Linked DNA regions of Ovis aries. The protein of the gene in region 3 interacts with the protein of the main gene of each other region in a pairwise test. Links are inferred from orthologs where the notes say so. Each region holds a gene or a part of one and is shown on either strand. Other genes may lie near its edges. The genes, in order: QRICH1, PPP1R16B and CRX.

Region 1 (8,960 bases), on a different chromosome or scaffold from region 3:
TCCGCTTGCTGTGATGCTGCGGCCTCTACCTGCACTCACGCCCACCCTCAATGTTGTGCTGTACTTCTCTAAGTACTTATCATATGCCATCCTCTAACAGTTATTCATCCACTGATTCAAAGTTTATCAAAGGGCTACTGTGTGCCAGGCCTGCACTAGGTGCTGATACTAAAAGAAGTGAATAAGACCCAAGAGTCCCTCTATAATGAACCTCACAGGTAAGAGGGGAGACAAACAGCAGTCAAAACAGTTACATAAAGACAAAATAACAAAAGCACTGGAAAGGGCTACAGAATAAACAGCCAGAGGGAACAGGCAGGGAATCTGGAAATCCTTCTCTGATAAAGTTCTTTTAGGAAGAATGGTTAGGATGAATAGGAGCTAAATGACCAAACACGTGGGGGTGGCAGCATAGGTCTTGAGGAAGGGAGAGTAAGATACCCTTTAGTAGAGAAAAGCAGTGTAACTAGAGAGCCAAGAGCTATGAGAACAAGAGGTTAGCAAGGGAGCGTGCTTGAAAGGCCCTGTTGGTAATTAGGGCAGTAATTACTGTCTTTCTTTGTAGAATAAAAGGAAACCACTGAAGGTTTTCATCTAAGTAACAAAGTAAGACCTACCATGTTGAAAGATCTGCTGGCAGTGTTGTGAGGATGATATGCCCAACTGCAGAAGCAAGAGAGAGCAAAAGCCAAGGAGAGGATCTCCCCTAGACCTACGGTGTAGTGACCAAAGGTCAAGACCAGGAAAACACAGTGCTATACGCTCTATATGTGACAGAGGCGGCCTCTCTGTACCTTCCTCCCTTGACCTTCACCCCCTCTCCATCAAAGTGCACCATCAGGGAGGAGCCCTGGGCACATGCTTTGGGAAAACCAGTAAGTGTGCTTCTATATTTAGCCTTTTGGAAATCTGCTTTTACTTAGCCTGGGGAACTGAGAATGCTTCTGTGAGCACGCGTGCCACGCACACACCCACGCGCAGATACACACATGCACACACACACAGGCGCGCAGATACCCACACCCACACCCCTAGTCACACAGCCTCCTCACCATTTAAAGAGGTAGAAATCGTAGAGCTTGATTGGGCATCTCAGTGGGTTCTCTGGATTTTCCGTCTGCTCTGCATACATGTCATCTGTAACTATAAAACATACCCCCCACCACAGACACGGCATCAGACTGCCTTTACTTAGGCTCAGATTAGGAACCTCAGGCTTTCAGCCATCCCAACTAGGAAAGAAAAGGGTATGAGGCATGAGCGGTGAATATGAAAGGAAAAGGCAGCTATCATTTCTGGGGCATCTCTGCTTCTAGAAGAGTTTGAAATCAGCGACTAGGGAGAAGGGAAGGGAGCATTCCTATCCGCAAATCCCCATCCTCACACTTGTCACTAGCCCCCCAGGCATGAAGGCTGGGCAGAACTAGTAGCACCTCTTTCTGCAACCCCTGCCTCCTTCCCTACCTTTCTGGCCAGTCTGGTGTATCCCAAGTGCCTTCAGGTACCGAATACTCGTGCTTTTATCCTTGGGATTAGAGGGGTTCTTCTTTGTCTGTCGTAAGACCTTGGAGAAGGCCAGCTTCATGTGCTGGTCCACTGTCTTCAACAGGAAGTATCTGCACCACAAGCGAAAGCAAGGCAAAGGGAGGGGTGCCAGGAGGAGACCATGACTTACCCTCCGCCATCGCTGCTTCAGAGGAGCCGCTGCCCACACTCCCAGAATCTGGGCAGGCCCACACCCAAATACACTGTCCAGTGGAGGAGTTTCATAAAGACTAATGGGAGGGACCTGGCAAGGCTGTCTGCCTTACTGGTCGCCACACAAAATGTAGCCAAGTGGGGTGGAGGGCTTCACTAGCCCAAAGGCTCTCAAGCATGTCAAAGGATCTCAGAAGTCCATCTGGATAGTTTCTACCCTCTTCACTGGGCGGATCCCAGCAGTGGCTAAGCATGGAGCCTCTGGAACACTTACTTGGTGTTAAAGAACATGAGGGTGGTCAGCAGTGTGGAAGGGGAGTGAGCCCCGAGCTGCTTGCACTCCCACAGCATCTCCTCAGTCACGTGGCTGGGCAGGACATAGCCTAGGAGGAATAGAGTACTGCTACAACAAGAGGATGGCAGGATGGGAGGCATGAGGCACAGCAAGCACTACATGGGAGTACAAGTTTCACTGGAGAAGGCTTCCTGGGATATAGCAGAATCATCTGGAAAGCTTATTAAAACACAAACAGCTGAGTCCCAACCCAAGGTTCTGGGGGAGGACCCGAAAATGTGTGTTTTCAACAAGTTCCTAACACTACACTTTGAGAACCCCGGCCCTCCATTATCGCTCTCACTGGATGTTAATTCTTCCTCTAATCCCAGGTTAATATCAGGTAAAAGGACATCCCTCAGAGAGCTTGCAACACCCCAAAGTATAAATCAACCTCTGCACATATGCAAACTTCTCTGAAAAGAGCATACAGAGCTTTCATCATAGCTTCCAAGGTGTCTAGACCAGGGCCCAGAGAACTGGTATACATGCCCCTGTTTGTCTTTGTTAAACCTCTATGTCATCCATTCTCATCCCCCTCTGGAAATAGAGGAGAATGATATTCAGATCCCTGATAGCTTTCCCCCACAGGGTAGGTTTTACTTTCAGGAGCTAACTGAAAGCTGGACAGGGACAAAGGCAGTGGTTTCATCAAGAGCTCTGGACACACAGGTCTATACCAAAGATAACACAAGTTGATCACCAAGCCCCCATCATGTGTTCATAAAACAGTCAATACCCAAGTGTGTATGTACCGGGCACTGAGGACATGGTGAAATAGCAGCAAACACCAGCATTCTCCTACAGGAGTTTCAGGATTCTCCAGGCAGGAAGCAAGGGTGGCACTTTCTAGAAGCAGGGGAAAACATTTTCTGCCCAATACATTCCTTTTCTCTGGTCTTGACAAAGCTGGCCCTCTGATTTCATTAGTACTCTTCCACCTCTTTAGGGCTTGTCTGCCTCTGCTCTTTTATTCTGTGGCCCAATGGCAATAAGATAAACTTCCTCGCTGCTGCTGTTTAGTCATGAAGTCGTGTCCGACTCTGCGACCCCAAGGACTGTAGCCCACCAGGCTCCTCGGTGCATGGGATCTCCCAGGCAAGAATACTGGAGAGGACTGCCACTTCCTTCTCCAGGGGATCTTCCTTAGTCTCAGACAAATCTTAAGCAGGATGAGTGACAGAAGATGCTCTCCTTGGGGAAGGCTAGCCCTAGGAATGGTCCAGGCATACATTTAGGATTGCTCTATTTTCTCTGGGTTCTCTCTGCCACCTTGTCACTTCCCTACCTTTAATCACTTCTTAACAGCGCAACTTAAAGTGAACTGCAGTATCTGAAAATCAGAACTCCTAGCGTGGGCAACAGGAGTTACACATAGAAACAACATATAAAAGCCTCATAGTTCTGAATCTGAACTGTGAAGTATCAAAATGTTCTATTTTATATTTATTTTTGTAGTTCTGCCTAGAAACTATGACCAACCCAAGAAGCAATGAACATCCCTACCACCCAGATGGTGGTAATGAAATACCATTTAACACTGAAAGGAACCAGCCTCCATGGAGAGCTGATTGAGTCTACACTGGGAGACAGAAAATGGCCAGGATAAGCCTGGAACATTTTTGGTGAACCAGAAATCAAGGAAGTAGGGTCATGCCAAACAGACTTAAGAGCCAATTTAAACAGGCTCCATATGGCTAGACAGAACAATTTGTACACCATTAAAGATACTAAGTACAATGAACTGAATCATTAAATATGTTTAAATTAACTTGCTCACAATGATTCTTTAAACAAACAAACAAAAGAAACCCCAGCTGAAGCTGGTAAACCAACTCATTACTGTCAAAGCTGCTAAACAAAGGAGAAGAAATAAGCCCTCATCCTGCTTCTTTTATATAATCTCTACTGCTAGGAAATCAAAGAGCTGATGAGGGAAATTTTCTCTTTGTATTTCAGCTAATAAAGAAGTAATAACATCAGAATGCCAATGCTTGCAACTCCTAATGAACTAACGGATCCAGACATCATGGGCACCCACCTATGATGTAACCCTGCCAAGAAGAAAACACACAGAAAAACCAAAACCCGATTTAGCAAGTCTTTATATGCAACTACCAATAAACTGTAAATACAGGGGACAGAAGAGTATGTTAAATTACAGCATGGAGATATTAATAGCAAAAATTAGACTGTAATAATTTAAAAGCCTCATTTCTTCCATAAATAAACTGCAAGAAAAATACGTTTATTTTTGAATTTAATTAAAAGTTACTTAAATTAAGATTAAACATTAAAAGATATCTATGCAATTTCAATGTGTGGACCTTATTTGCACCTTGACTCAACCAAAAAAAAGTGACATTTATGGGACAACTGGAAATGTGAAAAAGGGCAGATTTTGATGACATTGTGACTATTCTTTTTCTAAAAAAGTAAAATAATGGCATTGTGTTACATCAATTTTATGCTAAAATATTTATGGATACAGTGTCTAGGACTTACCTCAAAATGATACGGGAGGGATAAACAGATAACGTATAAATGGAACGAGATTTGCCATGGGTATGTGGGAATGCCATTATTCTGTTCTGCTTATTTTTATATGTGCTTGAAATTTCCTTAACAAAACTTTAAAAAAAGCCAATTTTATACAGCCACACTTGGTCTGAAAATCCGCAAATCATGTACAGAAATTCACTTACTCAGGTGTTTGTTCTAATGATATCTCCTTAGAGACGCTTCCTTCCTAACACCCTTAACACTTTCCATTCTCTGTGCTTTGTCCTTCGAAGTACTTAATTATCATAAATTAACTTGATTATTTATACAGTCTCCCCATATTAGACTGTAAACTTCCATTTTTTCACTACTGAATTGTATAATCTACACTTGGAACTGCCTGGCACACAGTAGGCACTCAAAAGGCATTTGTTTAAATGATACTTTAACACTTAAGCAGTAATCACGATGACAGATGATAACTAGACTAAATCCTTTCACAGTATACACCAACTGTATCAAGTCACTGTTCTACACCTGAAACTGCTACGCCAATTTTATCTCAGTCAGTATACATTTCATTAAATGGCAGAGCCAGGATTAGAACTCAGATATTTGTGTGGACATAAGTTTTTACGTCATCTGGGTAAAGAAGAAGAAGCATGACTGGTGCATCCTAAGGTAACATGTTTGGGAATTCAGCCGTTCTAACAGGCATATAATGTTATATCACTGTATCCATGTATGCATGCACATATGTATCAATATTTATGCAAGCCACTTGCTGAATCTCAGTTCCCCGACCAGAGACTGAACCCAGGCCACAGCAGTGAAAGCATCGAAACCTAACCATCAGGCCACCAGGGAACTCCCATCACTGCTGTTTTAATTTACAACTGACTGATGATATATATCTTTTCATATACTTATCTGCCACCTTCTTTGGTGAATCATGTGTTCAGATTAAAAAACAGGTAAAGGTTCTTTCTTTGTTATTGTTGACTGTTAAAAGTTCTTTATAAATTTTGGATATCAGCCCTTTGTCTGGTATGTGTTTTGTCAAGATTTCCTCCCAGTTTGTGGCTTGTCTTTCATTCTCTTAATAATGCCTTTCAGAGAGCATAAGTTTTTGCTTTTTAATTTTTAATAAAGTCCAACTTACCAATTTTTTTCCTTTCATACATTATTCTTTTTATGTTGTACCTAGAAAGTTACCACCAGACCTAACGTCACCTAGAGTTTCTATTTTACCTTCTAGGAGTTTTATAGTTTTACATTTGGGTCTATGATTCTTTTTTTTTTTTTTTCAATGTGTGGTTGTCCAGCTGTTCCAGCAGTGTTACTTGAAAAGACCATCCTGGGAATTTCCTGGAGGTTCAGTGGTTAGGACTCGACACTTTCACTACATGGCCCGGGTTGAATCCCTGGTCAGGGAACTAAGATCCCATGAGCCGCAGAGTAAAGCCAAAAAACAGAGAAAAAGAAAAAAGGACTATCCTTTCTCCATTTAACTGCCTTTGCCCCTTAGTCAAAGATAAATTCATTACACTCATGGGGCTTTACTTCTGGACTCTATACTCTGTCCCATGGATCTGTCTGTTCTTTCACCAAAGACCTGCACACAGTGTTTACAGCTGCTTTATTTATAAACTGCCAAAACATGGAAGCAACCAAAATGTCCTTTAATTGGTGAACAGATAAACAAACTGTGGCACATTCATAAAATGGACTACTACTCAGCAATAAAAAGAAATGAGCTATCAAGCCATGAAAAGACATGCAGGAACATTAAACGTATATTGCTAAGTGAAAGAAATTAATACTAAAGTATTCTAACTATATGACATTCTGAATAAGGCAAAACTATGGAGACAGTAAAACAGATCAGAGGTTGCCAGAGATTCAGGGGGATAAAGGGAGGGACGAATTAAGTGGAACCCTGGGGATCTGAGGGCAGCAAAACTTGTATGTGATACTGAATTGTAGGTACATATTATACACTGTCAAAAGCCACAAAATATACAACAGAACTCTAATGTAAACTACAGACTTAAGTTAACAACAAGGTATCAAATACTGGCTCCTCGATGTTAACAAATATACTACACTAATACAAGATACTAATAACAGGGGAGACACAGTGTGATGGAATACATGGAATTCCTTGTATATTCCACTTAGTTTTCCTGTAAACCTAAAACTGCTCTTAAAGAATATATTATTTTAAAAAATTATAATAAACAGCTCTGGTGAGCCATGCCCCTCCATACTGAGCCAAGCAGCACAGAGACCGACGCTGGGGCCTGCGATTTACAGCCTCCTCACCCACATGCTATTATCACAGCAAGCCACACAAGCAGCTTATCTTTTTTAAACCCAGGTTCAAAAGACATCCAAGGACTAGGAAGATTCTTACCAAGTGGAGTGACTCGGGGCTGAACGTCCTTCAGAACTTCATGCAGCCACTCCGTGAATCGAACATAATAAAGATCGGAGAAAATGTCATCAACCCGTCCGTTCTCAAAAAGATACTAAAAGGAAAATAATCAATAAAAGCTGTTGGTAGACTCTTGACAAGATGCTGAGGGAAGCAAACAATTACGAGCAGTACCCTCACATCTCCCTACCCGTTCGTCCCCCATTAACCAACCAGCACACTGAGTCAAAACCGCCCAGTGCGCGGCACTTCCACAGCATACTTCAGGATGGGAACTAACTCTCACAACACTCTTGAGAGTTGGCCAATGGAGCAGATTTCATGAATGCTACTTCACCCAAGCAAGGCACTGTCTTATGGTAGCAAAAAAGCATGATGCAGGCTCCAGGGCCAGTCTCTTACCAGCTACGGTGTAAGTTATGTAACTCATTTGAGTCTTGTAACTTTGGGGGCTCAGTGTCCTTGTGTGTAACTGGAGATGACTATGCCTGCCTTGCATGAGTGAGAGAGCATGGAATGAGACAAAGCACATACACTAATTCACCCAGTGCTCCCAGTGACTGCTAAAACAGACTAACAAAATGGGAGATGGGTTTTTCTCGGGCCCAAGCAACAGGGTGAGTCCCAGTCAGCAAGTGTTCTTCCATCACACCACGGGCTTCTCTACAATAGCATTCAAACACCAGGAAATCCCCATCTGGTCTCTGAAACTGCTGGTCCTAAAATGAATCTCCCTGTTCATCTTCATCTTAGATATCCTGAAAACCTAACTACAGTTGTATATTTTAGCTAGACTCTTTCAAATAATTATTTTGCATTAATGCAGGAAACAATGAGAAAATGAACTATATGTCAGCACCAGACTGTTCTGGAAAAATTGCTTTTCTGAAAACTAGATGTTTACTTTAACAAAAAGTGTTACATAAATGTTTCATAATTTTTTTTAAAAAGTCTCTAATGTAATATATCATATATTTTAACAAACATTTCTCTAGATTGAGGGATTATTTTATTATCTGATTTTCTAAAGTGAACATGTAGATCTTTTCCAATTTAAAAATAAAATGTACATTTAAAAACATTTCCAACTTTTAAAAAATGTACATTTAAAACCTCATTATATAGTTGGAAGAGAGTATCTTTACTGTTACCACTTTTGACATATTACTAATTTGACTACGCAGCAAATACCCAATGGGAACACAAGGCAAACAGGTTCCTACGCAGCTCGGTTCCCTACCTTTTGAATACACAGGAAAATGTAGTACAGCACATCTGGGTCATAGGGGTCACCTTCTCCATTTCGAGCTTCCCGTGTCATCAGACAGAGCCCATAATTCAACTCAGCCACAGCAGAGGAGATGAGATCTTCCTGGAATCGTAGCAACTGACGCCCTACAACATAAGTCCCAAAGGTCAGTGAGGGTCCTGGCAACAGTCATTTCCTTACTGGTTTCTCATATCCCTGGAAGGAGGTTACAGAGCAGACACCACCACCCATCAAGGCGCTGGGGTGAAAACAATCACTTGAATCTGTGATCAAAACTAACCTACAAAGACAATAATCCTGTTTGCCCTGTTACTAAAAGGGTTCCCGTCCCATCTCACATATCCCCCAATTATTAGGGCCACGAAATGAAAGCAAAAACACAAAACCCACCCTCTGTAATACGAGGAAGTATATGAGGATAATGCTAAGTAAGAGGCGCCCTAAGAACACTCACCAGCTCCTATCTCCTCCCAGAAGTCTCTGATCTTGGGCACACCCCACAAATCCTGCTCGTTTATAGCAGGTCCAGCCTGCCTCTTGTCTTGGATCCAGCACACTATTTCAGATGGAGCGCCCACATGCCCAGAGCCAAGAGATACACTTTCCTGCCATCCGTGCTCCTGCTGCTTCAGTGCCACTGCATTTCACACACAGTCCAACCCCCCTGCCCTCCAGAACACTTACTCCCAATGGGTGCCAGTCTGTTCTGAGCATCCTTC
Region 2 (9,994 bases), on a different chromosome or scaffold from region 3:
GCCTGGTGAGCCTCAGCTACTCAATAAACTACAGTGAATAACTCAATGACCTTGGCCCCAGCTTGTCCCTCGACACCAAGGAGATCCACAGGGAAAGTTCCCCTGGGACTTGATGGGAATGGTTTATCTCTGACTGAAAACATGAGCTAATGCCCAAGAGCCTGCAATTGGCTCCTGTCAATCAGCTGGGATTCCCAGCCTTCTGGGTGGGAGACAGTGGCCCAGGAGCAGGAAGCAAGGGAGGAAGGAGAAAATAGCCAGAAGGACTCAGAGGGGGCAATAAATGCCTTCCGTCTCTGACCTCTGAGCAAACAGATCCGAAAACCTGCACGGCTCTCTCCCAGAAGCGTGTGGCTTCCCTCGGGACCTCCCAGCTCACAGCTCTAGAGGAATTCCAGTGTCAGTCTCATCTGAACACTGTTTTTAAAGCCTAAAGGTATGTGTGTTTTGGATCATCCCTGCCCTGACCCAGTCATCAGATGAGATGATAAGAGCCAGCCACAGACCCCAGAGATGTGGCAGGTGTCACGCACACCTGTCTGCAGTCACCTGACCTGACTTTCCACTCTACATTGGATCCACCCTGAAATTGGGGTGGGAAGTCTGATGCTGTGACTCTCCCTGCATCCAGGAGCCACCAGGGGCGAAGTGACTCCTGAGGCCCCTGCTCTCCGGTCCAGCTGCCCTGCACCTGGTGAAGCATCAGCCAGAGCCCTTGGGATCCAGCTCTGCCTCTGGGCTACAAGAGCCCTGGGGGCCACAGTGGAGGACTGGGTCAGACAGCAGACCCCCTTACTAGCACTGTGGCACAAGGGGCCCCCGCCAGCCCCAACCTCTGGCCCAGATGTCTCGCAGGGAGAATTTCTCATAGGTTCAGGAAGAAAAGGGTTAAAGGGAACCCAGATTTGTCCCCCAGATTTCCGAATCTGGACCTCAGGGGCCTCCTTCAGAGCTCTAAAGAGGTAGTTTTAGGACAAGTAAAAGGCGCACGGAGCAGGAAACAGACCTGCAGCTAGTTAGTTACACCAGTAGGTTTTGGCCAAGCCCGTGGACAGCGTCCAACTCGTGGGCAACAATTTCAAAGGGCTCATGAGAGGATGCAGTGGGGAGGAGGCAGACATCCTGTCCCTCGTATTCTTCCCTCCCCAGCATCAGAAAGATTGGGGGCCATGAAACTGTAAAGCTGGCGCAAGACCCAACTCCAGCACCACCACTTGAATGCAGTGCGTGATGCTGGAACACAGATGGGCACCTCAGATCCGCAGGCTTGGGCCAGAGCAGGATAGCAGCCCCTGGGCCAGACAGGAGCTCACAAGAGCCAACCTGCAAACCCACATCACCGGGCATCCCTAAAAGAGCAAAGCTGGGCCGGGAGTCCTGAACATTCACTCTGGGAGAGGTGGGGGCCACAGCAGCCCCTCAGTGCTCAGTCTGATAGTTCAGTCTGAGGAGGACTGGGGAAGACAGGCTGGACTGAAACCATCTGACCAGTCACAAAGCTCGGCCAGGGCACTGGGCTCTGTTATGCTGAACAGAGATGTCTGCAAAAATTAAAAACATGAACTCACTCTCTCCCTGGAAAAGCCCTTCCAACTGAAGCTTCTCCCTTAGCTTCCCTTTTTTTCAATACCAGTCAGTACAACCTAGTCATCATGATACTGTCTGTGAAAGAAAGCTAATTCAGCGATCCCCCTCCGCAACCTGGAGTTTTACAGTCTAAAAGAATTATTTTATCCAACACACTTTTAAAAATGCTACCTTTGTTCCCTCTCCTTGTCACATTTTGAAGCTTCCGTCCAAGAGCAAAATAGATTTGGATTACTCCAGGCGCAGAATTACCTGGTGTTCCACCTTGGCCCCTGGGTGCTTACATAGCTGGCTCTGGGCATGGGCAAGGATGTGGGGGGCAGGTCTACACCCACCTCATCCACCCACTGTGGGTGCATCAGAGTGAAAGTGTTGGTTGCTCAGTTGTGTCTGACTTTTTGCAACCCCATGAACTGCAGCCCACCAGGCTCCTCTGTCCATGGAATTCTCCAGGCAAGAATACTGGAGTGGGTTGCCATTCCCTTCTCTGGGGAATCTTTTGAACCCTGGGATCGAACCCCCATCTCCTGCATCGCAGGCAGATTCTTTACCATAGCTCCCTCTAAACATAGAAGACCTCCTGCTCCCACCAGATGGAGATGACAATACCAAGTTGTTGTAGGACTCCAGGCAAGATGACGGGTCTCAGGTTAGCAGGCTCCCTCCCCTGCTAAAGCCACGTTGGCAGTGGTGATAAAACTGAATCTTAACCTTAGTCCTCTTAGGAAGAGCTCACAAATTTTCAGTCCCACCTGCTTCCCATGAGCCCAGCTGTGTCATCCCTGCACATGTTGACTGAGTGTGAGTGTGTGTGTCTGTGTGTTGATATGTGACGTGTGAGTACTGGTCCAGAGAAGCCTTGACCAACAGCAGAACTAGAATCCCAACTCGCCCTCCCAAAATCTGACAGCAGGATGAGACAGGAAGCCACGAGGGGCCTTGTTTTTGATGGCAGACAATGCGGCAAGAAGCAGAACCATGGGAAGTGGTGATGCTATGGGCAGCTGGCTGAGAGGTGGGTTCTGAGTTCCTCTGGAACGCAGAGCCCAGCTCCCCCTTCCCGCCCCAGCTGCCCGCCCCCAGCCAGGGCTGCTGGGCTGGCCTGGACTCCAGGGTCCCTCTCCCCGCGCATCTCTCTCCTCCATCCCACAGAGACTAGGAGATGCGGCAGCAGCCATGGACCTTCTCCTCCATCTCCTCTATGGGGGCCTTGAACTTCAGGAGTGGGGGGTCTCCACTGGTGACCGTGTAATACACCGAGGTCCCGTTGCTACTGTACGGAGAAGTTCTGCCTCCAATCAAGGGGGCCTTGCCTTCACTGCTGCCCTCGCCCGTCCTGGACATGCCGCTGCCCAGGTGGGTGCTCAGGAAGGGATGGCTGAGCAGCTTGGCCGCAGCCCGCTGCCTCTTCAGCTCCAGAAGCGTCTGGGGGCTCTGTTCCTTGTAGCCACTCCAGGACGGGGTGGCATCGGCCACGCCAGGGTTGCCATAGGCCATGCTGTAGTCGGGCACCTCGTGCACTTTCCAGACGTCCCCGTTGGACAGCGCATACTGGTAGGTGCTGACCGGAGCCCGGAGGCCATTCTCAACAGGCACGTCCATGTCGCTGCGTGGGATCTTGGTGGGAAACTCGGAGAGCAGCACGGGCTTCTCCAGCCTGGGGTTCTGAGGGCGAGAAGGACATCATCATCAGCCGGCTGGGGGATCTGAACCCCAACCCTGCTTGCGCCTCTACTGAGGGCATGATTGCTTGAAACCATCCTCTTCCATTTTCCCTACCTGGGTAATAAGACCTCCGTTTTCCTTTGGGGAGTCTCACCAGTTGTGGGTTTTGACAGACCCAACTGACTCCCATCTTTGCTCCAGGAGATAAACCATAACCCCAGGACCTGGCCAATCAATAAACTCACTATTGGAATTGGTTCAGGAATGGGTTCAGAAATTGGTTCCATGAAACTCAACCCTGGGACTTACTAGAAAAACTAGAAAAACTGGGGAAGAGCAGCTCTGTTTCTATAGGAACTGCAGGGGTGAGAATCATAAACTGGGGAGACAGTGCGTTAAAAGGTCTGCTTGGCTGTGAAACCAACATTAAGGAAGAGAGAGCATGAGACAGAGACACTGCACCCTCGTGATACGTTTTCTTTTTTAAAGATTTTTTTTTATGTGGACCATTTTAAAAGTCTCTACTGCATTTATTACAACATTGCTTCTGTTTCTATGTTTTAGATTTTTGTCCTCGAGGCATGCGGGATCTTATCTTCCTGACCAGGGATTTAACCCAGACCCGCTGCATTGGAAGGTGAAGGCTGAACCACTGGACTGCCAGGGAAGTCCCCTGATGATATGTTCTGAGCCCCCGCATCCAGTTGGCCCAGACTTTCCAGTTAACCAAGCCAGTGCATTCTTTTTGCGTCTGTAAGTCAATCTTAGTTGGGCTTTTTGGTCACTGAGAATCCTCTCCCTATATTCCTGGGATAGCTCTTCTCCAAATGGGAGAGGTTCTTACTCAGAGATCTTTTACACCCAGAAATCCCTGGGTAACAAGAGCTTTAAAAGGAGGTGCTACCTAGAAACTCTAAGGAAAAGGTGGATACATTGACAGTAACAAAAATATAAAGCATACCAAAAATCACTATAAACAAGGTCAAAAGACACACAAAAAACTTTTTTTGGCCACAGGACAGCACGTGGGATCTTAGTCCCCCAGTCCCTGCCCCCTGCAGTGGAAGCACAGAGCTAAAACACTGGACCCCAGGGAAGTCCCCCCACTTATTTTTCTGTAAACCTAGAAATAAACCAAAAAAATAAAGCCTATTTGTTAATAAATAAATAAATGAACAAATACAATGCCTGAGTCCGAAGCCTGGAGACTGATTTAATTAACTGAGATTATAGTCCGGACATCAAGTTTTTTAAAAACAAAAACAAAACACCTCCCCAAGGTGATTTTCTTGTACAATTTAGATCATGAACCACTGGTTGAAGAGACAGGGTTGTCTTATCACGGCTGTGCCTGCTATCAGGGAGTCAGCTCTGCCAAAAGTGGGTACCACAGCCAGCCCTGGGGGCTATCAGTGCAGAGTTCTGTCAGAAATCTGACTTGGGAGTCAGGCTGAGCAAACACACCCTTAGATCAGTGGTTCTCAAATTCTTGCATGCATCTGAATCCTCTGGAGGGCTGGTTAAAACACAGAGTGCTGAGTCCCAGCCCCAGGGTTTATGATTCAGTCTATCTCGTGTGGGGCCTGAGAACCTGCATTTCTCTTTTAATTGGAGGATAATTGCTTTACTATGTTGGGTTGGTTTCTGCCAGACATCAACATGAATCAGCCATAGGTATGCATATAGCCCCACCCCCTTGAAATTCCCTCCCACCCTACCCCCCATCCTACCCCTCTAGATTATCACAGAGCACCAGGTTGAGCTGGGCTTCCCTGGTGACTCAGACAGTAAAGAATCTGCCTGCAATGCGGGAGATCTGGGTTCAAACCTTGTGTTGGGAAGATCCCCTAGAGGAGGGCATGGCAACCCACTCCAGTATTCTTGCCTGAAGAATCCCCACGGACAGAGGAGCCTGGAGAGCTGTACAGTCCATGGGGTCCCAAAGAGTTGAACACGACTGAAGTGACTAAGCACACACTCATATCTGTGGGGTAGAAGGGCTGCCTGGAAAAGGGAACGTAGGAGCTTTCTGGGGTGACAGAAATGCGTGTACTCATTGGAAAGAGGTCATTGACAAATTCGTTTAAGATTTCTGTAGGTTATAGAAGCTACACCTCAATCACAAAGAAAAGAGAATTAAAGCATATCGGGGAAGCATCTGAAATGGGATTTGATTCCAATCTACAGCTCTTCTTTCCTAACCCCCAAGCTTAGGTGGGCAGGGGCAGAACAAAAGCTCCGAGTGTGCGGGCTCCATCCCAATCGGCGTTTCAGTGGGGATTCTCTCTTTTAAAAAAAACCACTTGGCATCGAATCTTTTTTCTTTTTAACATTTATTTGGCTGCGCTGGGTCTTTAGCTGTGGTTTATCCCCTGATCAGGGATCAAACCCAGGTCCCTTGCACTGGGAGCAAGGAGTCTTAGCCCTTGGACCACCAGGTAAGTCCCTCTTTTTGTTTTTACTCTTTTTATTTTATATTGGAGTATAGTTGATTAACAATATTGTGACAGTTTCAGGTGGGCGGCAAAGGAACTCAGCTAGACATATACATGGATCTATTCTCCTCCAAACTCCTCTCACAATGGAGATTCTTTAGAGCAGATGCCTTCACTCCTGCCGGCAAGACAAGCCCTCACATGACCTCCTTGTTCACACAGGGAAGCAGGGTCCCACTGAGACATTTTGCATCCCCCCAAGCAACAGGAACTAGAAATGTTTTCAGCTGCTCTTTGTGTGATGGTAGAACCACAAAGGTACACCACTGCTGGTATGGTCAGCCCCTTCCTTCTTGTGCCCAGTAGTTCTGCTCTGGCCCCAAACTTGCATATTCTACTCAGCAAGACTGCAGCCAGGCACGGGCCTGAATGCATCTGTACTGAGTCAAATAGTGTCCCCCCGAAACTCACATCCACCCCACATCTCTGAGTGTGACCCTATTTGGAAGTAGAGTCTTCACACGTGTAATCAGTTACATTAAGATGAGGTCACACTGGACGAGGGTGGGCCCTAATCCAATGACTGGTGTCTTTCTAAGAGAAAATAGAGACAGACCCGTACACAATGAAGGCCACATGGAGACAGAGGCAGAGATTGGAGGCACGATAGCAAAAAGCCAAGGAATGCCCAAGATGTCAGAAGCTAGGAGACAGGCATGGAACAGAGGCCCCTTCCGATATCCAGAAGGAACCAAGCCTGTAGACAACTTGAGTTTTAGACTTCTGGTTTCCAGAACTGGGAGAAAAGACATTTCTCTCGCTTCAAGCCACCTAGTTTGCGGTAATTCATTACAACAGTTCTCAGAAAACAATACAGCATCTTAGGAAAGCGGTTTAATGCCCAGATCATTATCTACTCCTAGAGCCAGCTTCTTAGACGTTCTATAGCCAGCCCCTATATTTTTCAAAAATTTTCTTCCAACCCGATATCTCAACACAATTCTCAACATCTTGTTAGGTTTCCCCTAAAAAAGTTTTAACACCCTTCTCTCCCAGAGTGGCCGCCCTACTGAACCTTTTCCTCTGGGAAGCCAGAATAAAATCTCTCTTCTGCTGGAGCTCAAGCAGGCACATGGTGATCACTCACTCCCTGGCAGTTATGAGCCCCTACTGTGTGCCAATCACCCAGCTCTGACGTGAACACGTCCTACACTTGCCTCAATAACCATGGTAGGCACCCCCTCAGACAGGACCCAGCTGGTTTAAGGGCGATGGCCAGCTGACCTCCCTCCGAAGGCTCTGAAATAAAGAAGCAACGCCAGGCTGGGGTTCCAGCCGTTCCCCTCCCACGGCAGTGCTCACTGGGGCTGGGTGGGAGGCAAGCTCTCACCGGGTCCTTATTCTCTTGGTCTGTCCTGGTCTCCCTGATGTCCCCGTTGTAGGTGGAGTTCCGCTGATCCTCGGATGCACTCCGCTGCTGCCAGAGTATAGCCTCTCCCTCATACTCCTTCCTGTACAGGTTGGTCCTGTCGGACAGGCTGGCTCGACGTACCACCTTCCTAAGGGGAGAGGGGGGTACTGGGAGGCTGCTTCCAGGCTCCATGGGCAGGAGCATCCTTGGGCGCCCCTGGCTGTCCCGCCCCCAGCTCACCCTCGGCTGCCCGCGCTGGACGTCCTCCTGCTCAAAGATGATTTATGCCTCAGCTGCGACTTCATGATCACATCATGCTTGTGTTTCAGCTCCAACAGCAGGACTTTGAACTCCTCCTCTTCACACAGGTCTGAAAGGGTGGAGGAGTCCATGGTAGGGGGCAGAGAAGGGGCTGGTGATCCCCGAGGGCCCCCCAGACCCACTGAAAATTCACATCTTCTGGGGTGTGGTTGGAGGGAAGAAAGCAGTGCCAGCCTTATTTCCTGGGCTACAACCCAATCCTTAGAGGAGTGTAAGAAGAGGAAACCCCAGGTCCCATGCACAGTCCCAATTCACAGATATGACTGAAGGATTCATACACCTTTGATCGCTTCCAAGAGGAGTCATCAATTCTCCACTGATAGAAAATATATCAAGAGAAACCAGAAGGTACCCCACAGAGCCCAAGCAAGACATTATGAAAAGAGCCTGAAATCATATATCCCCACCCACTCAGTCCCTCTCATCCTTTAGTTCATCTGTCTACCTATTCGCTGAACCAGTCATCCATAGATTCATCCTCTGCCCACCCATCCTCTTAATTCATTCATCCATACATTTACCCAGTTATCCATCCATTAATCTACCACCCATTAATTTATTCATCAAACTATCCATCTACCATCTATCCAACCATATATTCAACCATTTATCCTCCACTCATCAAAAAAATCAATGAGTGCAGGCGTGGTCCTTCTGAACTTACCAATTGGCATCTCATCCATGGATGTCCTAGCACTGAGACTGGCCCCATGGGACACCAACAGCTCTGCCATCTGCATCTGAAACACAGGAAGAAGCCCGGGTTCCCCCCTGCCCACAGCTGAGAAAGCCTAGGAGTCGGAGAGAGTGAGAGTTCAAAGCTTCTTAGGATGTGATCCAAAGAATGGTAGGGCAAAGCTGACTCCCAGGGAAGGCTCTGCTCCCTAAAGCCGGGAACTCCGGCAAATGCAATAGGCTTGACACCTCCTCCAGCATGACTCAGCCATACCGAGGGACAGAAGGAGTCAGCTATAACTCCAGAGCTGTCAAGTGTTTAAAGAGGAATGGCGAAAGCTACAGAGATTTCTATCTGGGAAACAAGTGGAAAAACTCAAGACAGAAATGTGGGAAATTTTCTAATTTGGCAAATTGGATTGTCATCTTGTTAGGACACAACTTGACAATCCTTTTTGTAAACTCCGTAGGTCTTTTCACATCCTACACGCTAGCTGTAGTCAACACCCTAAATGGGTCGGGTGTTCTGAACCAACTCCCAGCCCAAAGGTCAGCAGGTTGGCCATAAGCTGGCCTCTCTTACAGCACTGTGGGTGACAACTACCTGTCCCCAGAAGGCAGCCGCATGCAGGGGCTCCCAGCCATCCCAGTCCTTCACATCCACGCGTACACCATGGTCCAGGAGGAGCTCGGCTGCCCGCAGGTATCCGTTGGCTCCAGCTATGTGCAGCTGAAGGAGAGGAAAGGGGTCAGCACTCCCCACGGGGGCTGGTCCCTCATTTGGAAGCAGGAGAGCCCATTCCCCGGCTCAAGGCCCAGATCATATTTAGGGCCGTAGAATGGAATAGAAGGAGGTGAAGATACCAGCCACGTGACAGAGCATTAGTAAGTCTGCAGTATGGAAAAGGAAGGTAAGGGAGAAGGGGCTTCTCTTCCGTCTTCAAGCCCCTGTCGTTAAGGCATCAGCATTTACTGAGTGCTTACTATGCACTGAGCCCTGTAGATGGGGTCTCAGAGGTCCAACAGAACACAGCCCTAATGGCCAGATGCCGCGTCATCCGGGGGTCAGGTTGCTATAAGTTTCTGGCAAACAGAGGTTTTGGGTTTTTTTCTTTTTTTTAATTTTCAGAAAGAAAAAAAAAAAACAGGGTATGATCTGGAACAGGCACACATGAAAACTGGTATCACTATCTGATTTATAAATGTTTGATGCTTGCCAGCTATTAAGAATGACACACAGCCAGCCAGACATTAAAAACTGTAGGGCCACATACATAGCTGGGAATAAAAAGTTATGACTGGGAGAGTGATATTGGTGGGTTTTTTGATTTTTTGTTTTACTAAAGTATAGTTGATTTACAATGTTTCAGGTATATAGCAAAGCAATTCAGTTATTCACCTGCATATATTTTTTCCCAGATTTCCTTTCCCATTACAGAGGATTACAACTATAATTACATTGAATATAGTTCTCTGTGCTACACAGTAGGACCTTGCTATTTATTATATAAATAGAAGTGATCATGTTAATAATAATAATGAGTTAATCACCAGAATCTATTGAGAGTTTACAGGCTCTGTGCTGAGCAGCTACATGCAGAATCTCATTTAGTCCTCCCAACAGCCCCCTGGGGAAGGTACGCCTCCCTGCTTCACTGGGAAGAACTGAGACCTAGTGTGTGCCCAGCCATGTGAGTGAAGCCGCTCTGAGGCCAGCCCAAGAGGAGCAGACCCCTGTGTCTACAGGGCTGAGCCACAGACCCAACGGAGCCCCATCCAGGGCGGGCAGTGTCCTGGCACAGCCTGGCCAAAACTTCGTCCAGTCTTCATGCAGCGTTCAATCCAACTACCTGACTCAACTCTTGAGTGCTGGGCTGAGCAGGGACCCCTTCCTTAGAAA
Region 3 (10,753 bases):
CAGCAAAGAGTGTGGGAGCCTCTGCAAAATGCCTAATGGGCACTTGCATCCTGGTCCCAGCGTTTACACAGATCCAGAGCACAATGCCATCTCCTACCTGCCCCTCCCTGGCAAATTTTTGCCTGGATCGGTGGATTGACATCCATCCCGTATGTCAATATATGTTGTCTTTCTCTGTTTAGATATTGCTTCCCACCGTGGATGCTGGGTCTAATGTCCCAGCATGACTCAGACCCAGGAGAGACACCTTTGGGGGCTCTAGTGATCTCAGGGTGCCGCTCATGGTTCCTCCTGACCTGGCATCATCTGATGCCACCCAGTCTCACTTTGCATCATGCCCCTCCTCCTGACCTTGCTTTCCGCCCTGGGGGCCTGGAGCCAGCTTGTCCTGGCTAGTGAGCACAGACTGTGAGTGTCTCTTCCTAAGTTCAGGGACCTCAGCCTGATGCCTTGACATCAGCCACAGTGGGAGTATTTACACCACAGAAATGGGTAACAATGACAAACCAGGATTTCCTCTTCCTTCCAGAGCCTGTTGTTAAACACCTCCCAGCATACCACTTCTCTCCCACACTACTTTCTTTCACCCCTGGCCTTGTGAAACCCACCAGTGAGTGGCTCGTGGCTCCTGCCTCCCCCACCCCAAAATAAAAGAACTCAGATTGAGAAAGTAGGTGTCAAAGTACCAAACTTCCAAGAGTGTTGGAATGCCTGCATCCTTCTTCAGATTCTTACACTGCTTGTCTCTGCGGCCATGGGTCAGACTGTATTCAAAGAAATACAGCGTTGCCCCCGGAAAATTTCCCAGGCCAGTCTCTATGTACAGTCCAACCCCACAATCGAAACTGAAAACAAAACCTCTAAAAGCGGGAGTGTGAGTGTGGGATGTGGGGCTGCCCCCAAATCTATTTCTTTTGCCCCACCCCTGCCTCTTATATATTTACAGGTGGGAAGCCTGTCCAACCTCTTCTTCTCTTGGAAATAGCCACAATCATAGCTGGTGTACCCCAAGCAGCAACCGAGATTCTTCCAGTGTTTGGGTGAAGTTCACCTTTTAAAAAACGCTAAAACGAAAGAAAACGAAGGAGACGTGAAACAGGCAACTTGCCTTCCATTCTCCCACCAGATATGCCCATTTCCAGTGTCATGAATAAGCGAACGATGAAGTGGCTTTAAGAAGAAACTAACAACAAGTAGAAAGTGTGTGTGTGTGTGTGTGTGTGTGTGTGTGTGTGTGTGTGTGTGTGTGTGTAGCCCCCTAAACCTATCATGCAGACCTGACATCTGCGAAATCTGGAAAACTGCCAAATGAATTTCTGAACTTAACAGTATAGCTGGCCTAAAGGTTCCATCCTGGGGCTCCGTAAAGTCTGTCTTTGGGATTTCTAGAAGGATCTCTACCCATGAGCTAAAGAAGTGTCCCCAAATGGAAAGTTAAGGAATCAAGCCTCCCGACCTGTTTGTTCAACAGCACTGTGATTTTCTGACCTAAACACGACCCCAGGTCAACTGCAAGGTTGGTTTAATTTCATCTCAGGGCGGATTCTCAGCACCAGTTTCTGGAGTCTGGGGCTCATGGTTTGAAATGCCGGTTGGACTCCGTATGAGACCACCTTGGGGTTGAGAGGATGACTAACACCTATCGAGCTCCCCAGGAGGAAAGGGGTGGACTGTGTTGGTCACGGGAGCCAAAGAGGCCACGACCTTCGGAGGGACTCCTGCCACCTCCCCCGGGATGCTGTCCCAGGGCAGGTCGGGACAATGTGCAGAAGGGACAAGAGATGGAGAGAGGAGGGTCTTCTACAAGATCTGAAACTTCCAGGCACTCTGATCCTTGTAGTCCAGGGGGTCCATGGGGTTGTAGGTGAATTTCCAGGTGCCTGTGGGGTCCTTGAATTCTAAGCTGTCCACAGGGCTGTAGGTGCCATAGCTCTGGCCTGACAGGGAGGTGGGGGACTGGGTCAGGGAGGGCCCCACGGAGGGGCCTGAAAGGGGGCTGAGGGCCGGGCCCCCCAATGGGGGCACCATGGGAGACAGGTAGGGGTCCAGGCCACTGAAATAGGAGCTCGGCGACCCATAGGCTGAGGGAGAAGAGCAGAAAGCAGAGGCGGGGGCGTAGGTCATGGCGTAGGGCGCTGAGGTCAGAGAGGGGCCCGAGGCCACTAGCCCTGCCCGCTGCGCCTCGGGCAAAGGGGACTCGGAGGCCGGACTCCAAATGGACACCGTGGCCACTGCCGTGGTGGGGGAGCTCGAGGGCCCAGGCAGAGGGGGGCTGTAGGAATCTGAGATGCCCAGGGGGTCTGGACAGACATCCGTGGAGGACCTTGGAGATGTGCCTGCCTTCCTCTTGGCAGGACGAGCCTTGGCTTGTGCCCCTGGGGGCTGCTGCTGCTGTTTCTGCTGCTGCCGCTGCTGCCGACATTTAGCCCGGCGGTTCTTGAACCAAACCTGGGGGGCGAGAGGGGAGATGAGGGAGGGAGAGTGGGCAGGAGGCCCAGGGGAGCCTTCGTGATGCCCAGGAGTGGTGATGCCTATCGGTGAAGCATGCCAGAGTCATAACTCTCTACTTTGCAATCGGCTGTGGGGCACTCAGGGGGCTTCCCAGGGGGCTCAGGGGTGAAGAATCCGCCTGCCAAGGCAGGAAACGTGAGTTTAATTCCTGGGTCGGGAAGATTCCCTAGAGAAGGAAATGGCAACCCACTCCAGCATTCTTGCCTGGGAAATCCCTTGGACAGAGGAGCCTGGTGGGCTACAGTCCATGGGGTCACAGAGAGTCAGACACGACTGAGCAGCTACACAGCAACATGGGGCACTCTATTCATCCACCACCCACCCAACTATTTATCTACACGATTGTACAGCCACACATACACCATCATATACAATGCACACGATTGTACATGCATACATTTGCGGGCACACACATGGTCACACACATATATCCACATTCTTCCAGCCAATCATATGTACATACCTACTATCATGTAACATACAAATATACTCCTATACATTCATCTGTCCACCGAATCATTCATATATGCATGCAGACATACAGTCATACCTACGCACATTCACCAGCCAATCATAAGCACACACATAACAGTCATGCCTAAGCACAGTTGTAAGTATATACACACAATAATGGGCTTCCCTGGGGGCTCGGATGATAAGGAATCTGCCCGCAATGCAGAAGACCCGGCTTTGGTCAAGGGAATGGCTACCCACTCCAGTGTTCTTGCCTGGAGAATTCCATGGACAGAGGAGCCTGGTGGGCTACAGTCAGTGGGATCGCAGAGTCCGACATGATTGAGAGGCTGACACTTTCACCTCACATACAATGATACATACTTTCATCTTTCCGATCTTATGTACATATGTACACACATTATCATACAAACACATACACATCCATATATACAATCATATATGCATCATACATATATACAATCAAACACACATATACATTTACCCATCCATGCATCCATCCATCCATCCATCCGTTCAGTTATTTAATAAACATGTATTCTTCTACTCCTTTGGGGACACACCAATGAAGCTGACATTCTACTTGAGAGAATGAAAGAAAGAAAGTTGCTCAGTCGTGTCTGACTCTTTGCAACCCCATGGACTGTAGCCTACCAGGCTCTTTCGTCCATGGGATTTTCCAGGCAAGAATACTGGAGTGGGTGGTCATTTCCTTCTCCAAGGGATCTTCCCGACCCAGGGATTGAACCTGGGTCTCCCGCATTGTAGGCAGACGCTTTACTATCTGAGCCACCAGGGAAGTCTTGAGAGAGACAGCATATAAATAAATAGTAAGGAAGGAAATCACATAGAATTTTAGAAAGTGATAAATGCTATGGGAGGACCAATTGAGCAGAGTGAGGGGGAGTAGCAGAGTTGGGATGGCGGGAAAAAGCTGCAGCTTCTAATGCCAAGGGCGGTGGAGGTCTCATTGACTGGCAAGGTGACTAGATTGGTTGATAAACAAAGACTTGAACAGGGTGTAGGGAATATATCTTCCGGGTAGAGGGAACAAAGAGTGTTCTTGGTGGGAATGCTGAAGGAAGGACTGGGGCAGTGCTCATGGAGTAGAATGAGAGGGGATAGGCATGCCAGATAGGAAGCCAGCGAAATTACGGGGATGAGAGATTAACAGGACACTTCAGCCCTTCCTCTGTGACCTCTCCCTCTTTCCTCCGCTCTGGATCCCAGGGACCAGAACACCCCACCTGAACCCTGGACTCAGGCAGGTTGATCTTCAGAGCCACCTCCTCACGGGCATACACATCCGGGTACTGAGTCTTGGCAAACAGGGCTTCCAGCTCTTCCAGCTGGCTTCGCGTGAAGGTGGTCCGTTCCCGCCGTTGCTTTCTCGGGGCGCCTGGGGTGAGGACAGAAAAACAGGACTGCTGGGTGACCTGAGACCCCATTCTCTGCATCTGCTGACGCAAGGTCCTGAGAAGGCATGGGATGCTAACAAGCCTCTTCTGGGCGTTCATCTGCCCAAACTAAGGGGGTGCTGATTCCCTCAACTTCTAGACCTCACTCTGTCCCCCTGGGAAACGGGTTCTCCCTTTGCGTATCCTTAGGGGGGACTCTTGCCTCGCCCCGAGGAGAACTGGCTTTACCTGTGTAAGGAGGTATCTGAGTTTGGTTTTCATCCCCTTTCTAAAATTCCTTCTGCACTAAGACATTCACTTGAAACATGACATTTGGGATATCCAGCCGTTTGGGGATATCCAGCCTATAAAAGAGGCAGGACCGTAATGGTCAACTTAACAAAAGGATAATACCATCAAAAATAGAACGCTTCCTTCGCTAAGAAATAAAGCATCGCTGACAGATGGGAATTCCTCTGGGTCCCCCTTCCAGATGGTTTCCCTCCCTCACCCGAAAGGGAACCACTGTCCTAAATTTCTATGAAGATCCACACGCTCTCCTGCATCCCTAAGAGATGTGGGGTGTGCTTTGCATTTACAGATGAGCCCGTTTGGCTGGTGTATGGCCCTGATGTCATCCTTGTAAGTACCCATCCGCTTCCTGAGGGCAAGGGACTCCAGAAGGTGGGGGCCAGCAGGGGGTGGGGGGGCAGGGAGGATGACTGTACTCACTTGGGTAGGACACAGCTGGGTGCATCAGATCCACACTGGGGCCACTCAGGGCCAAGGCGTTGACGGAATAGTGGGGCCCCGGGTTCATATACGCCATCATGATCTTCGGGGATGCTGGGGCCCAGGTCAGGGGGCCTGCGAGAAAAGGATGGGTGCTCACAAACTCCCCAGTTCATCACCGCCTCAGTCTCTTCCTAGATATGTGACCTTGGGCAACTTATCCCCCCAGTCTGTGCCTGGGTTTCCTCACCTATAAAACAGCCCTCTGCTTAAGGTCGTCAAAGCATCACTGGGACTCTATAAAGCCAAGATCAAAAGCTGTAAGGAGCATTCTAAATGTAAGCTCCTATTCCTACTCTATCCTTTAAAAGATCTTCTGACCAACTCCCTTGTCCAAGACCTTTCCCCCACCCCGTGTGTTAGCGTCAGTCACTCAGTCGTGTCCGGCTCTTTGCAACACGTGGACTGTAGCCCTCCAGGCTCCTCTGTCCATGGGATTGTCCAGGCAAGAACACTAGAGCGGGTTGCCGTGGCCTTCTCCAGGAGATCTTCCCAACCCCTAGGACCTCAAAAAAGATGTTCAGCCTCACACAGAATCATGGCAAAGTAGGGAAACTGGTTGTCTCAGTCTGCCGGGGATAGAGAGCTTTCTAGGGGTATGGGATTTCAGTGACAAATCTGAAAACTCCCAGACAAATCAGGATGGTTAGTGACCCCAAGGGAGTCACAGTCAAATGACAGCAAGTAATGATCTCCCATGACTATTTTTGACCCCATCAAGTTGGCAAAGATCAAAGAGGCTTGGTAACTCCAGGGATGGCCTCAGAACAGGCTACTTGTGTCAGACGGGCGACAGTGTGGATGGAACAAACTGCAAACATTTATCAAAGAAAAATGCCGTCTTTCCTTGGTCCCAGCAATTCACCTTCAAGGTGCCTCAGCCACCTCATCAGAAGATGGGAACCAACAATACAGCTTACATCTTTAGGTCGATGTGAGGGTCAAATGAATTATTGTGCATCTGATACTTAAAATAGCACCTGACTCGCAGCAAATGCTACAAACCTGTGGTGGTTATTATTATCTGCAAGCAGACGTTTGCACAGACTTTATGCTCGGATACTTCTTATTGGAGTATAGTTCACTTACAATGTCGTGTTAGTTTCTGGTACGCAGCAAAGTGATTCAGTTCTGTATTTCTTTAACGTTAGTTTTCACTACAGGTTATTACCAGAGCGTGAATAGAGTTCCCTGCGCCATACAGTAGGTCTTTGCTGTTTCTCTCCTTTATATATCATAGTGCGTTTCTGTCAATCCCAAACTCCTAATTTACCCCTCCCCACCCAAGCTAGGATTTTTAATGCAGCATATTTATAATTGCCGCAATGTGGAAGCACCCTATACATCCACCAAAGGAGACATAGTAAGTAAGTTATGGAATTTAAGTAAGTTATGTTACGATTATGGCACATCCGGGCAAGAGAGTACTATAAAGTCATTAAAAACTATAATTCTCTGTGAATGGACTTGAAGCGACCTCTAGCATATAGTTAAGGAAAGCTTATCCTGGGACTTCCCTGGTGGTCCAGTGGTTAAGAATCCACCTTCCGATGCAGGGGATGTGGGTTCGATCCCTGGTCGGGGAACTAAGATCCCACATGCTGTGGGGCAAGGCAGCCTGAGCCCGTCAGCTACTGAGCCCACGTGCTCTGGAGCCAGTGGGCTGCAACTAAAACCCAGCACAGCCGAATAAATAAATTTTTAAAAAAGATTACCCTAAACTTAGCAATGAGACAAATGGTCGACAGCAAGTCACTTCCTGGTTATCTAGACAACCAAGCCAAGCATTAGTTCCTTTTCTAGGGGACTGGACCCTTGTTCAACTGATTCTTCACTATTGACTAGGATCCGGACACTGACAAGTTCAATGGCAACTTTCAGATGTTTGGTTGGCCATGATTTGTCTCTGGTTAGAAAAGATAACCGCAGGGTTACAGTTTTGCTGCCTGTAGAACTTGGACTGGTTTTGTACCTAACCTAACCAGCTCTTTTCAGCACACCTTTTCTGAGTAACAGTATTAACCTCTCTTCCTTGAATTCTCCTTGGAAACAGCCAGTTCAAGACTTAAATCTTTGTTTTTGGCTTATTACATGTGCCTAAGAGTCAGGTTTTTAATTTTTTTATTACATTTTGGAAATACGGGGGGGGGGGGGGGGGTTGTCTGTGTGTTAGATATCATATTTTACCAAGTTATGGGCTTCCCTGGTGACTCAGCGGTGAAAGAATCAGCCGGCTAATGCAGGAGACACAGGTTCAACCCCTGGGTGGGGAAGATCCCCTGGAGGAGGAAATGGCAGCCCACTCCAGTAATCTTGCCTAGAGAATCCCATGGACAGAGGAGCCTGGCGGGCTACGGTCCATGGGGTTGCAGAGAGTAGGACACGACTGAAGCAACTGAGCGCAGCATATGTACATACATTTACGCATTCCTGTTGCATAGAACATTCCCAAGGACACAATATACGGAAACAGTGGCTGCCTCCGAGGAGCTGTGTTGTATCCATATCTTGTTTCACAGCTTGGGTTACTTTTTAACCACGTGTGTGTAAATTGCCCTTTCAACAACAAAACCAACAATACCAGCTATTTAAAACAGAGAGAGACATTCTCCAGGGCTCCCTATCGCCCTAGTTAAGATGACCTCAGGAGACCTCTCAGCCTCTCCAGAAACTTCCAATAACTGTTCTGGGCTAGGAATGCCTCTCTCTCAGCCCCAAACCCCCTCTCACCAGCGAACTAACCCCTTCTCCTCCTCCAGGACACAGCTCAAACATAATTTCCCAGGAGAGCCAGCCCACACCCTAAACAGGATGTCACACACACACACACACACACACACACGCTTTCTCCTGATCTTCAGGAATCACACGTACTAAATACGACATATTTATAAATATGTTTGCCTGTCTGTCTCCCCTGATCCAGCTACCTGAGGATGGAGACTAGGAACATTTTAGTCCCTGGGGTGTCCCCAGCATCCCCAATAAATATTTGCAAAATAAATAAACGCTTACAGTTGGATAGTGTTTATGTGAGCGCCCACCTCATCCTTCTCTCACTGCCCTGTCCTTCTCAACCCTCATTTGCGAGAGTTTCATTTATCATAAATTGAAGCTCTGCTATCCACTCAGCAAATATTTTCTGAAAATAAATCATGCTGTAAGGTCTAGGGAGACAATAAGAAATAAGACACACAGCATCTCTGCTCTCACGGAATTGAAATTTGAGGTTCTGATCAGGGAAACAAACATTGAACAAGGAAATAGGCTTTTCTTAAGAAACTCAAAATGCTTCCAGAGAGTTTCAAGAACTCCAAGGAAAATTAAATGGGGTAGTAAGAAATTAAAAGATGCTTGCTCCTTGGAAGGAAAGCTATGACAAATCCAGATGGCGTATTCAAAAGCAGAGACATCACTTTGCCAACAAAGGTCCACGTAGTCAAAGCTATGGTTTTTCTGGCAGTCATGTACAGATGTGAGAGTTTGGGCCATAAAGAAGGCTGATTTGCTTTCAAACTGTGTTGCTAGAGAAGATTCTTGAGAGTCCCTTGGACAGCAAGGAGATCAAATGAGTCAGTTCTAAAGGGAATCAACCCTGAATATTCATTGAAAGAGCTAATGCTGAAGCTGAAGCTCCCATACTTTGGCCACCTGGTGAGAAGAATCAACTCATTGGAAAAAACCCCAATGCTGGGAAAGATTGAAGGCAGGAGGAGAAAGGGAAGACAGAGGATGAGATGGTTGGATGGCATCACCAACCGTCATGAGTTTGAGCAAGCTCCGTGAGATGGTGAAGGACAGGGAAGCCTGGCGTGCTGCAGTCCATGGGGCCACAAAGAATCAGACACGACTTAGTGATTGAACAACGAACAACAAAATAAGAGAGTGATGGGGTTTGAGGCGAGGGTGAGATTTAGGAGATCTCCTGATTTAGGAGATCTCCTGATTTAGGAGAATGATCAGGGAAGTCAGATGTCAATCAAGGCTGCCGTCACTTGAAGGCTTGACTGAGGCTGCTCAGTCAGATTCCTTGAGGTTCATTCCTATGGGTGTTAGCAGGAGGCTTCAGTTCTTGCCACACAGACCTCACCACAGGACTGCTCAAGCATGCTCTGGGGAAGCATGATCAGGGAAGACCTCTCTCTAAGGAGGCGACTTTGGGGCTGCAAAATGAAGGACTCTGCACCCGCTGTGAGAGGATCTTGGGCCAGAGGTCTCTAGGCGGAGGGAGCAGCAGGTGCAAAGGGCTGGAGGCTGGAATCGTTTCATCTCGTGGGAGGAGAACCAAGGTGTCCAGCGCTACTGGGGCAGAGTGATCGGGATGGAAAGTGGACTAAGAGCGGGTGGGACCTGATAGAAAGGTCTCGGGGATGCTCGGTGTTGATACTAATCATAAAAGTAGAAGTAACACATAAATCCTAAGAATCAAGAAGAGTCCTAGGTAATGACTGGTATTTACACCCTAGAGGTGTCCCTCCCATGGAGCAGGGCTGCGTGTGCAACCAATGAGATATTGTGGAGATGACAGTGTGACCTCTGAGGCCGGCCCTCTCTCTCTCTAGCAAAGCAGCTGTTGTGCCGAACATGCTTGCACAGTCCTGTGGCGAGGTCTGTACGGCAAGAACTGAGGCCTCCTGCCGACGGCCATGGGAATGAACCCCCAGGAATCTGACTGTCCAGCCTCAGTCAAGCCTTCAAGTGACGGCAGCCCTGATTGACATCCGACTACAACAGAACGAGAGACCCTGAGCCGGAATCATCCAGCGATGCTGTCCCTGGATTCCTGTGACCTCAGAAACTTTTGTCTGTTGTTCAGTCACTCAGTCGTGTTTGACTCTTTGTGGCCCCATGGACTGTAGCACACCAGGCTTCCCTGTCCTTCACCATCTCCCAAAGCTTGCTCAAACTCATGTCCATTGAGTCGGTGACACCATCCAACCATCTCGTCCTCTGTCGCCCCCTTTTTCCGCCTCCCTTCAATCTTTCCCAGCATCAGGGTCTTTTCCAATGAGTCGGCTCTTCACATCAGGTGGCCAAAGGACTGGAGCTTCAGCTTCAACATCAGTCCTTCCAATGAATAATCAAGGTTTATTTCCTTTAGGAAACTACACAACATCATAAATATGTATTAACTCATTACACAGCCACAGATAACTAATACACAAGACTTCCCAATGCAACATGGCAGAGTCCTCAGCCCAAGCCTGGGTCGTAGAGACAGTATTACTATTACGTTCATATTTTGTCACTGAGAACATTTGCAGACTCAGGTGCTGGGACTTGCCTGGTTCGCTCAGGCTGTGAGTGGGGACCACCCTCCTGGAGGCCCTGTTCTCCCAGTTCCCAGCCTGGGTCCCCTCGGTCACCTTCCTTTCCTCCAAGGACTGATGATATTTCATCAGACCCTCATGAGAAAAGGGAAACAGGGAGCCTGCTGAACTCGCCCTGTAGGGACAATTTGCAGAGCTTGGAACAAAAGCATCCATTTCTAGGGCTTCCCTGGCAGCACAGTTGGATAGCAATCTGCCTGCCAGTGCAAGAGACACAGGTTCGATCCCTGATCTGGGAAGATTCTACAT

Evidence for each region.
Region 1: the proteins of CRX (region 3) and QRICH1 interact in binary tests that used the Homo sapiens proteins (3 or more experiments, as listed by UniProt). The two-hybrid records come from large-scale screens. The link is inferred for Ovis aries from reciprocal best matches to the Homo sapiens genes CRX and QRICH1.
Region 2: the proteins of CRX (region 3) and PPP1R16B interact in binary tests that used the Homo sapiens proteins (3 or more experiments, as listed by UniProt). The two-hybrid records come from large-scale screens. The link is inferred for Ovis aries from reciprocal best matches to the Homo sapiens genes CRX and PPP1R16B.

Annotation. Positions count from the first base shown.
Region 1 is NC_056072.1:50,998,165-51,007,124, reverse strand, and holds part of QRICH1 (transcriptional regulator QRICH1), read right to left. Parts: coding exon 8,926-8,960; intron 8,367-8,925; coding exon 8,212-8,366; intron 7,066-8,211; coding exon 6,951-7,065; intron 2,082-6,950; coding exon 1,973-2,081; intron 1,617-1,972; coding exon 1,465-1,616; intron 1,144-1,464; coding exon 1,053-1,143; intron 1-1,052. UniProt on the Homo sapiens protein: Transcriptional regulator that acts as a mediator of the integrated stress response (ISR) through transcriptional control of protein homeostasis under conditions of ER stress.
Region 2 is NC_056066.1:67,711,870-67,721,863, reverse strand, and holds part of PPP1R16B (protein phosphatase 1 regulatory inhibitor subunit 16B), read right to left. Parts: intron 8,825-9,994; coding exon 8,699-8,824; intron 8,160-8,698; coding exon 8,084-8,159; intron 7,469-8,083; coding exon 7,339-7,468; intron 7,247-7,338; coding exon 7,078-7,246; intron 3,253-7,077; coding exon 2,743-3,252; 3' UTR 1-2,742. UniProt on the Homo sapiens protein: Regulator of protein phosphatase 1 (PP1) that acts as a positive regulator of pulmonary endothelial cell (EC) barrier function. Involved in the regulation of the PI3K/AKT signaling pathway, angiogenesis and endothelial cell proliferation.
Region 3 is NC_056067.1:54,468,688-54,479,440, reverse strand, and holds CRX (cone-rod homeobox protein), read right to left. Parts: upstream 5,254-10,753; 5' UTR 5,215-5,253; coding exon 5,115-5,214; intron 4,385-5,114; coding exon 4,233-4,384; intron 2,449-4,232; coding exon 1,801-2,448; downstream 1-1,800. UniProt on the Homo sapiens protein: Transcription factor that binds and transactivates the sequence 5'-TAATC[CA]-3' which is found upstream of several photoreceptor-specific genes, including the opsin genes.